Danio rerio: one gene and its partner. The protein of the gene in region 1 purifies or fractionates together with the protein of each later gene. This does not show direct contact. Links are inferred from orthologs where the notes say so. Each region holds a gene or a part of one and is shown on either strand. Other genes may lie near its edges. The genes, in order: ppm1g and kpnb1.

Region 1 (4,499 bases):
GTCCTCTGTCCGAATTTGGCTATTTAAATAATAAAAAATAAAACATAACCATAATAAAAGAGCTTCACAATTTTTCTAGCCTCTCTTGTAAAAAAGTACATTTGATTTGATTGAAAATTCATAAATAACAAAAATAGTCAAATTTTTTTTTTATTTAATTTTAATATAGCATTTTGCTTGGTCTTAAAGCCTTTTTCAGAGTATTAATTTGACTATTTACGATGACATAGCAGTCAACATAAGGCAAATGAGCTCATGTATGGGACCAATTCTGGATCTTTGTCATTGAGGGGTGAGTTTTTTCAACCACCCGAACTCCTCTGGCTATGGGCCTGCAAAGTTACTTTGAATAAGGTTCAAATTGGGATAATTTTGACACTTACCACCACTTTTTTCAGGTTGGAGCTGGAATTTATGTATTTGCTGCTGTGATGTCAGTTCAATGTAGCGTGTTGTCAGACTATTGTTGTTTACACCTTGGAGTGAAAACAGACTGAACTTGAGGACGGGTGACCTGGTCCGATAAAAACACTACACAGACAGCATGATCGTCCTTCTCGGAACCGCAAATGGCCATGGCATGACCGTATAACTCGCACGTCTCCTTCGTCAACACACAGGCGTGCGCCGGGCGGCCGCGCACGCTAACAGTATAGCAACCTCTCGCGATACAACCTCTCCAATGCGGCGCCACGCGATATTTGCAAACAAAACATATGGATCTTTTTTATTATCATTTGACAGTAATGGAGGAACGCCGCGAAATGTAGCGAAGAGTACTGATTTTTCTCTAATAATTTACTTGAATAAAAGTACACATATTTAAATTTACTCAAAAAGTACACGTTACCCAATAATTTTACTCAAGTAAATGTAACGAAGTAAATGTAACTCGTTACTACCCACCTCTGAAACTAATTATCATGTAAAGCAACACACCCCTAAAACAACGACCTGTGTACATCCCCCCCCTCCCTAACTCACACTTTTTAACACATTATAATAAAAAATCTAAACTGTGTTTTAAAATGAACCTAAACTTGCAGAAGAACCATATAATAATAATAAATCTTAAAAAAGGGGTAAACTAGGTGCCCTTATTTTCAATACAGCAATACCTGACTATAAAAAGATGACAATTTTGAAGAAAAACTAAACCAGAAAAAATGTTTATGTCGAAGGTAGGTTTAAAGCCACTTCAGCTTAAGGGTACCCTTCATAACATCAAAATCAGTTGCATTCAATCCTCCCTCCTTGATTGGTTTCACTACATCTGATTTTCTTAGATAATGATGCTTATTCTTCCATAGAAAAGTATATTGCATTCGATTCAGATTTTTAATGCACCTATCAGATGTACTTACAGAAAAAGATGGGTAAATCATTCTGGAAAGTGTTGTACCTTTTGTAAAACAATTATACCAAAAATAGATAGATTCCTTTGAACCCACAAATTTATTATATTTTGACTTTTTTTATATTAGTCTCTGCAATCTATTGTTAACTATTATTTAAACCAAAAAAAAAAAAAGAAATTCTAAAAACCACGTGCATGCGCGAACTCACAATAGACTTCCGCTTCCGGTGTGCCTAAAGTCCGCTCTCTGCGAAATGGGTTTGTTGCTGGACTGTTGATTATGTTGACTCACACGTGTTAGGGGCTTTTTTGCTTTTAAAAAGAGGCTCTGACTGCATCAACGTTTATCCCCATTCGCGTTTAATGTGAGCTCGCTCAGTTTCAGGCAGGCCTGCCCGGACTCTCCATCATACCTGAGTGATTGTTCATTTAGAAACTCCAGCAGCATCAGCAGTGTTAGCAGCAGCCCATCAGCTAGCAGCAGTAGCAGGGTAAAACACCGGTTTACTCTCATCCAAGCTTCACTTCGCTCTGAAATGTGACCAGAATCTAGTTTTTACAGACGTATTACCTTCTTTGAAGTCAGTGGATTGGATTAAGTGGATTTATTTAATTTTACGCGTTTTCTTTTCACTAAATCTCACTGCACACATCATGGGGGCTTACTTGTCTCAACCCAACACGGAGAAGAGCACTGGCAACGGCGGGAGCAAGAACTTGAACTATGGGTTCTCGGCCATGCAGGGATGGCGAGTGTCTATGGAGGTAAAACAACCACTTTAATAATATTAAATAGGTTTTGTTACTTTAATTTGCTGATAGATGGATTGCTAATGCTATTAACGAGCAAATGTACGTGAATTATATGTTATTAAAACTATTGAGGTAAAGTTGTTCATATATTCAGACTTTCTCCGTAATAATATGAATTCAGAAAAGTATTCTTTGCCAATTTTAAATGTGAAGATCATACTAGCAGCCTGTGACTATCAAAGTACATTGTTCACTCAGTTAAATGATGCTAACGTTGCATTGGAGTCATACTTGTATGCTACTTCAGACCGAATATTCAAAGTAACGTTACCATGGTAAACAATATAAGGAGCATGTCACCGTTCACAAATGAACGAATGTGTGAATATAAAACCAACTTTAACTCCATTTCAAAGCAGTGTATATTTGCTTTTCAAAGTTAAGTAATGCTAGTCAGTATTTTTTTGTCTAGTGGGAGGAGTGACGTGCGCGGATTTTGGCGCCAGTGAGGTCAGAGGGTGACTCCCGCCTCAAGCTCTCGGTTTTTCTTCATAACCTGTTTTTGTTTCCTAGGACGCGCACAATTGCATCCCGGAGCTGGACGATGAAACCGCTATGTTCGCTGTCTATGATGGCCATGGAGGTAAGATAATAGTATAAGGATTTAAAGATGAGGAAGAGAGACTCGTTTCTGTCAGTTGTCCGGCCTCCGATGTTTCCAAAGCAGTCTGTTCATTAATGGGATAGTTCACACTAAAATGATTCTTCACTCACTATTTACTCTTCCTCAAATGGTTCCAAATCTTTGACTTCCGTTAAAGGCCACCTATGATGGAAATCAACTTTTGTGAGCTGTTTGGACAGAACTGTGTGTAGGTATAGTGCATACCTGTCAACATTGGGATGTGAAAATAAGGGATATGCCCACCATAATAAGGGATTCCCCTGACCCCCTTTAGAAAAAATTCCCCAAATTACTTAATATGCTCATTTGCAGCTGTTTCGTTGTAAATAAACAGTTCAGTGGTCAGTAGTATGTTTTATTATTATTTACAAAAGAAAACATAAATAGTATACATTAGCAGCAAATTAGCAAACAGTTCAGCTTATTAAAATTAATAGCTATTATTGAAATGTAATAGAATTAAATCCCATTAGCCATTTCTTCACTGTATAACATACACATTCTGATTAAAGAGCAACGAATGCATGATTTATTTAGATTTTTTTCCCCTTTGTTTACATTAAATAACAAGTGTCACTTTAAAAATGCACACATCTAATGTTATAATGAAAGCATTCAATTGCTAAATTGCAGCTGTTTATGCTCATTTAGGACGAAATTATTTGTGATTGGAAAAATAAAAAACACCAAGATCGATATCTTTAGATATTATTATTTTTATTTATGTGTATATCTGTTGAAACACGCACCCAAAACCCAGTCTTTTGCTCCGCTTCAAATCTTGAGTACAGAATCCGTTTGGGAAAACAGCGTCTGTTTATAACTATGGAGCGCGTCAGCTTACAGTCATGCAGCGCTATATGACTGTTTTGAGGATTGCATATGAAGGGGAGACGGCACCTGCAATGAGTAGGAAGAGAATCGCGCCGTTTTAATGTTTATTTCAAAGTGTTTTCATGCCTAAACAAAGCGAAAGCACTGAACAGACTCGCATTTAAGAGCAAGGGGCGGTCCCTAGTGGTTCGGCGGTATAGGTTGCGTATGGGAGGATCGACTAATTAAGGTTTATTTGCCACCTTTCAGAGAAAGACTAAAAATACGGGAAAATAACTTTACGGGATCATGGATCATTTTTCTGCTGATTGAGCTGCTCTGAGACATTGGTAACTTATAACAGGCTGCTCACTCCAACGATTTAATGAATAACATTGTAGTTGTATTTAGACATTTATAATTTCATTTTCACATTTTCTTTTTAATTAAAATAGTTAGTGAGCATCCAAATGGAGAGTAACAGATTCATATTATTCATTAGCCATTGCTGACTTTAACTTTTATTTGGCGAGTGGCAGTTTTCGGTCCTGGACATGAGGGTGAGCAAATTTACAATCGGTTTAGCATTCCTAAATGTGGACCAAAATGGATTTTCCTGGATGTTCTCACATAATTCATCAGTTAATTTTCAGAGTCTTCATTGAGTTTGGGCACACTCTGTTATGTTGTTTCTCCAGGTGAGGAAGTTGCTTTGTATTGCTCCAAGTACTTACCAGGCATCATTAAAGAGCAGAAGACGTATAAAGAAGGCAAGCTGCAAAAGGTAAACCTTGCTGATCTGTTTAAGTTGTTTATTGTTAAGATATGACTAATAGGTTTGTCCATTATGATTTCTTCAATGACAGTTACCTTGTGCGATTTTGAATGGGT
Region 2 (4,079 bases), on another chromosome or scaffold:
GAGTCCTGCTGAAGCTGCTGGAGCCCTGCCGCCCAGAGAACCTACTGAACGACCTCGCAGAGCTGCGCACGCTGGTGAGTGTGTGTGTGTGTGTTACTGACTGACACTAGTGTACAGTGGTGAGCGTGTGTGTATTACTGACTGGTATTAGTGTGTACTGGTGTGTAATGCGCTCTGTGTTCTGCAGCTCCTCCTCCAGGTGCCCTCTGCTGGTCCTCAGGTGTTGCCGCACACACACACTCTCTCGGCTCCACTCAGCCAGTTCAAGCTGCAGGTGCGTGTGCGCGCGACACTCCGGCAGCTGCGCAGCTTCATGCAGGACGTGTTCCGCAGCCTGCGCTGCATCAGTGTGTCTCAATGCTAACTGCACGCACATACACACACACCATGACTTTCGCTACATATTTATATATTTAATATTTATTGTTTTGAACATTTGTTATTTTGGTAGCCGACACATGTTGTGTTTAACACATGTTGACCGACACATGTTGTGTGTTTAACACATGTTGTGCCCTGTGGGTGCGCTGTAATGTTCTATTTAAATGTATTTATTATTAAATTATTTTCCTGAACTGGTCTTGTGGACGTGTGCTGCTCATTTATGTGCCATTATTGAAGACACAACACACACACACACACAGCAGAAAGATTTAATTTAACTTTATTTTCATATCAATGGAAAAATATAACCTCATACAAATGTCTGATTCTGTCCGTCGTCGTCTTCTTAAAAGCTCGGTGAATGACTCCAATTAAGTGCCGCAAGAGGAAAACAAAACAAAAAATTACAACCAAAAGCACATGGATGCTGCTCGGCTCGCCGCCGCTGACGTGTGTATTATTAATTCGCATCTTCTACGAGTAACACATTAAGCTCAAGTCCATCTGCACCGCTGGGTTTGGCACTCAGTTTCCTGCAAAACAAATAAAGGAGAATAAAGTCGCGTGTGGAGGTGTCTAATATCCCGTCGCTCCGCCGGAGCCTGCGCCTGTAGTGGCAATAGTCTTCCCTAGGCAGGGCAGGTGAAGCTCCGATCCGCACATCCATACTAACACACACCGGTAAGAGAACCATTACTCAATCAGCACTATTATTAAAGAAACACAGAGGAGGAGGAGGAGGAGGAGGAGGCCAGTAATGTAGCGCAGCCGTGACGAGAGGCCGGACGCCTCCACTGCCGCTCGCCGAGGGAACGCAAGAGCAGCTCACTCAATCGCAAACAAGATATTGATCACCTTTATTTATTATTGGTTGAAATATTGAGAGACGACGCGGAAACAGCGCCGCCCTCGCTCACTCACACACACACACTCCAGTCACGCCATCATGGCTCCAGCAGCAGGTTCCCGCGGCCGCCGTCTGCTAATCAGTGTGTGACGGTCAGTCCTGCAGCTGATCGGGCCGGGGGGAGGATCGGGTCAGGATGGAGAACGCGGGCAGGTGGAGAAGGTGGAGGTGTGTGCCGCTGTTCCTCTGCTGGAGCTGGACTGAAGGTGTGTGTCAATCTCTCGCTCTTACACTCGCTCTCACACTCGCACACACACTCATCAGCGCACAAGCACTTCTGTCCACAGCTCTAAAAGACAGAAGAACCGCAGGGCTTTCATTTCCATTTGTCCTGGTAGAAGAAGAAGAAGAAACTCCACAGCCGGAGATCTGCGCACACAGGAGAACAACACGTCACACACACACAGGAGAACAACACGTCACACACACGCTGAGAGGAACACACACACACACACACAGGAGAACAACACGTCACACACACACACACACACACACACACACACACACACACACACACACACACACACACACACACACAGGAGAACAACACGTCACACACACGCTGAGAGGAACACACACACACACACACAGGAGAACAACACGTCACACACACACACACACACACACACACACACACACACACACACACACACACAGGAGAACAACACGTCACACACACGCTGAGGAACACACACACACACACACAGGAGAACAACACGTCACACACACACACACACACAGGAGAACAACACGTCACACACACACACACACACACACACACACACACACACACACACAGGAGAACAACACGTCACACACACACGCTGAGAGGAACACACACACACACACAGGAGAACAACACGTCACACACACGCTGACTGAGGGCCAGAGGAACACACACACACACACAGGAGAACAACACGTCACACACACACACAGGAGAACAACACGTCACACACACGCTGAGTGAGGGGCAGAGGAACACACACACACACACACACACACACACACACACACACACACAGAGGAGAACAACACGTCACACACATGCTGAGTGGGGGGCAGAGGAACACACACACACACACACACACACACACACACACACACACACACAGAACAACACGTCACACACACACGCTGACTGAGGGCCAGAGGAACACACACACACAGGAGAACAACACGTCACACACACACACAGGAGAACAACACGTCACACACACGCTGAGTGAGGGGCAGAGGAACACACACACACACACACACACACACAGAGGAGAACAACACGTCACACACACGCTGAGTGAGGGGCAGAGGAACACACACACACACACACACACACACACACAGAGGAGAACAACACGTCACACACATGCTGAGTGGGGGGCAGAGGAACACACACACACACACACACACACACACACACACACACACACACACACACAGGAGAACAACATGTCACACACTCGCAGAGTGAGGGCCAGAGAAACACACACACACACACACACACACACACAGGAGAACAACACGTCACACACTCGCAGAGTGAGGGCCAGAGAAACACACACTCTCTGTGCTCCTCAGACTGGAGTGAACAGCTTTAACACACACACACACACACACACACACACACACACACACACACACACAGGCAGGTTTGTGGGGTCAGAGGTCACGCACCAGGCTTGGCTCTTCAGCTTGCGCAGCTCCTTGGCGGCCCACGTGGCCAGAGTCTTGGTTTTGCTGGTTTTGGATCTCCGGCCTTCAGTCAGCAGGTCATTGATCTGAGGACGCACCTCCACCAGCTTCATCACATCCTTCCCGAAGGTGGTGCACAGGTCCCTGACACACACACACACACACAGGGGTCAGACTACTGCACAATGTCTGTCTGTACGAGTGTGTGTGTGTGTGTGTGTGTGTGTGTGTGTGTGTGTATGTGCCTCACCCGATGAGCCCTACAGCATTAGCCACGACTCCGTCAGATCGGTCCTCGTCCTCTGCGATGTGGTGAATGAAGGACAAGATGAACTCCACACGCGGCTGAACCAGCATCACATCGGCTGCGCAGGAGAACACACACATTACGCACACGCCATGCAATGCTGAAGTGTGTGTGTGTGTGTGTGTGTGTTCACTTACGGTGCACATTCTCCTGGTCCCCCTTCAGGCCCTGGATGATGCCGGTGTAGGCCTCCAGACAGCCCTCACGCAGCTCGTTCAGGTAATCCACCATATCATAGTCCGTCTGCAGACACACACACACACACACACACACACACACACACACACAGCTCAGCTCGTGTAACAGACAGACAGTGTGTGTGCTGTCAGCGGTCAGGTCTGGAGATCTTCTCATTGAACTGTTTAAGATCAGTGATAGCCCAGAGCAGCGCTGAACGTCTGCTCTACACGACTGAAGGACATCACAGCACCACAGATGATAATAGACAGAAGTTCAACAACAATCGTCAAACACTGAGCGCCGTGTGTGTGTGTGTGTGTTCATCTGCTCACCTTGTCCACCTGTGCCTGCGAGGCCTGCTGCAGAGTGTCCAGCACAATGTCCAGGTACTTCTTGAATTCTCCTCCAATGGCGAGAGCGATGTCTCCAAACACAGACAGAATCTGGGGCTTGACGGAGCGGTGCACATTCTCATTCTGCGCGCACACACACACACACACACGATTACATGCTGAACTAGTGTAAGCGCAGCTTTAGCACTGAGACAGTGGAGAACAGATCATGTGTGTGGTGTATTAGTGCACATCTGAACACGACCCAGAGCTCATC

The links.
Region 2: the proteins of ppm1g (region 1) and kpnb1 purify together in Homo sapiens (affinity purification with mass spectrometry; 3 studies listed by BioGRID and IntAct, with this or other methods). This does not show direct contact. The link is inferred for Danio rerio from reciprocal best matches to the Homo sapiens genes PPM1G and KPNB1.

The regions. Positions count from the first base shown.
Region 1 is NC_133188.1:6,217,591-6,222,089, forward strand, and holds the start of ppm1g (protein phosphatase 1G), read left to right. Parts: upstream 1-1,592; 5' UTR 1,593-2,011; coding exon 2,012-2,122; intron 2,123-2,683; coding exon 2,684-2,753; intron 2,754-4,306; coding exon 4,307-4,392; intron 4,393-4,499.
Region 2 is NC_133194.1:51,609,549-51,613,627, reverse strand, and holds the end of kpnb1 (importin subunit beta-1), read right to left. Parts: intron 3,947-4,079; coding exon 3,803-3,946; intron 3,534-3,802; coding exon 3,428-3,533; intron 3,349-3,427; coding exon 3,234-3,348; intron 3,128-3,233; coding exon 2,966-3,127; intron 1,661-2,965; coding exon 1,660-1,660; 3' UTR 648-1,659; downstream 1-647. Other genes in the region: csf3b (colony stimulating factor 3 (granulocyte) b precursor), read left to right, coding at 1-74, 188-364.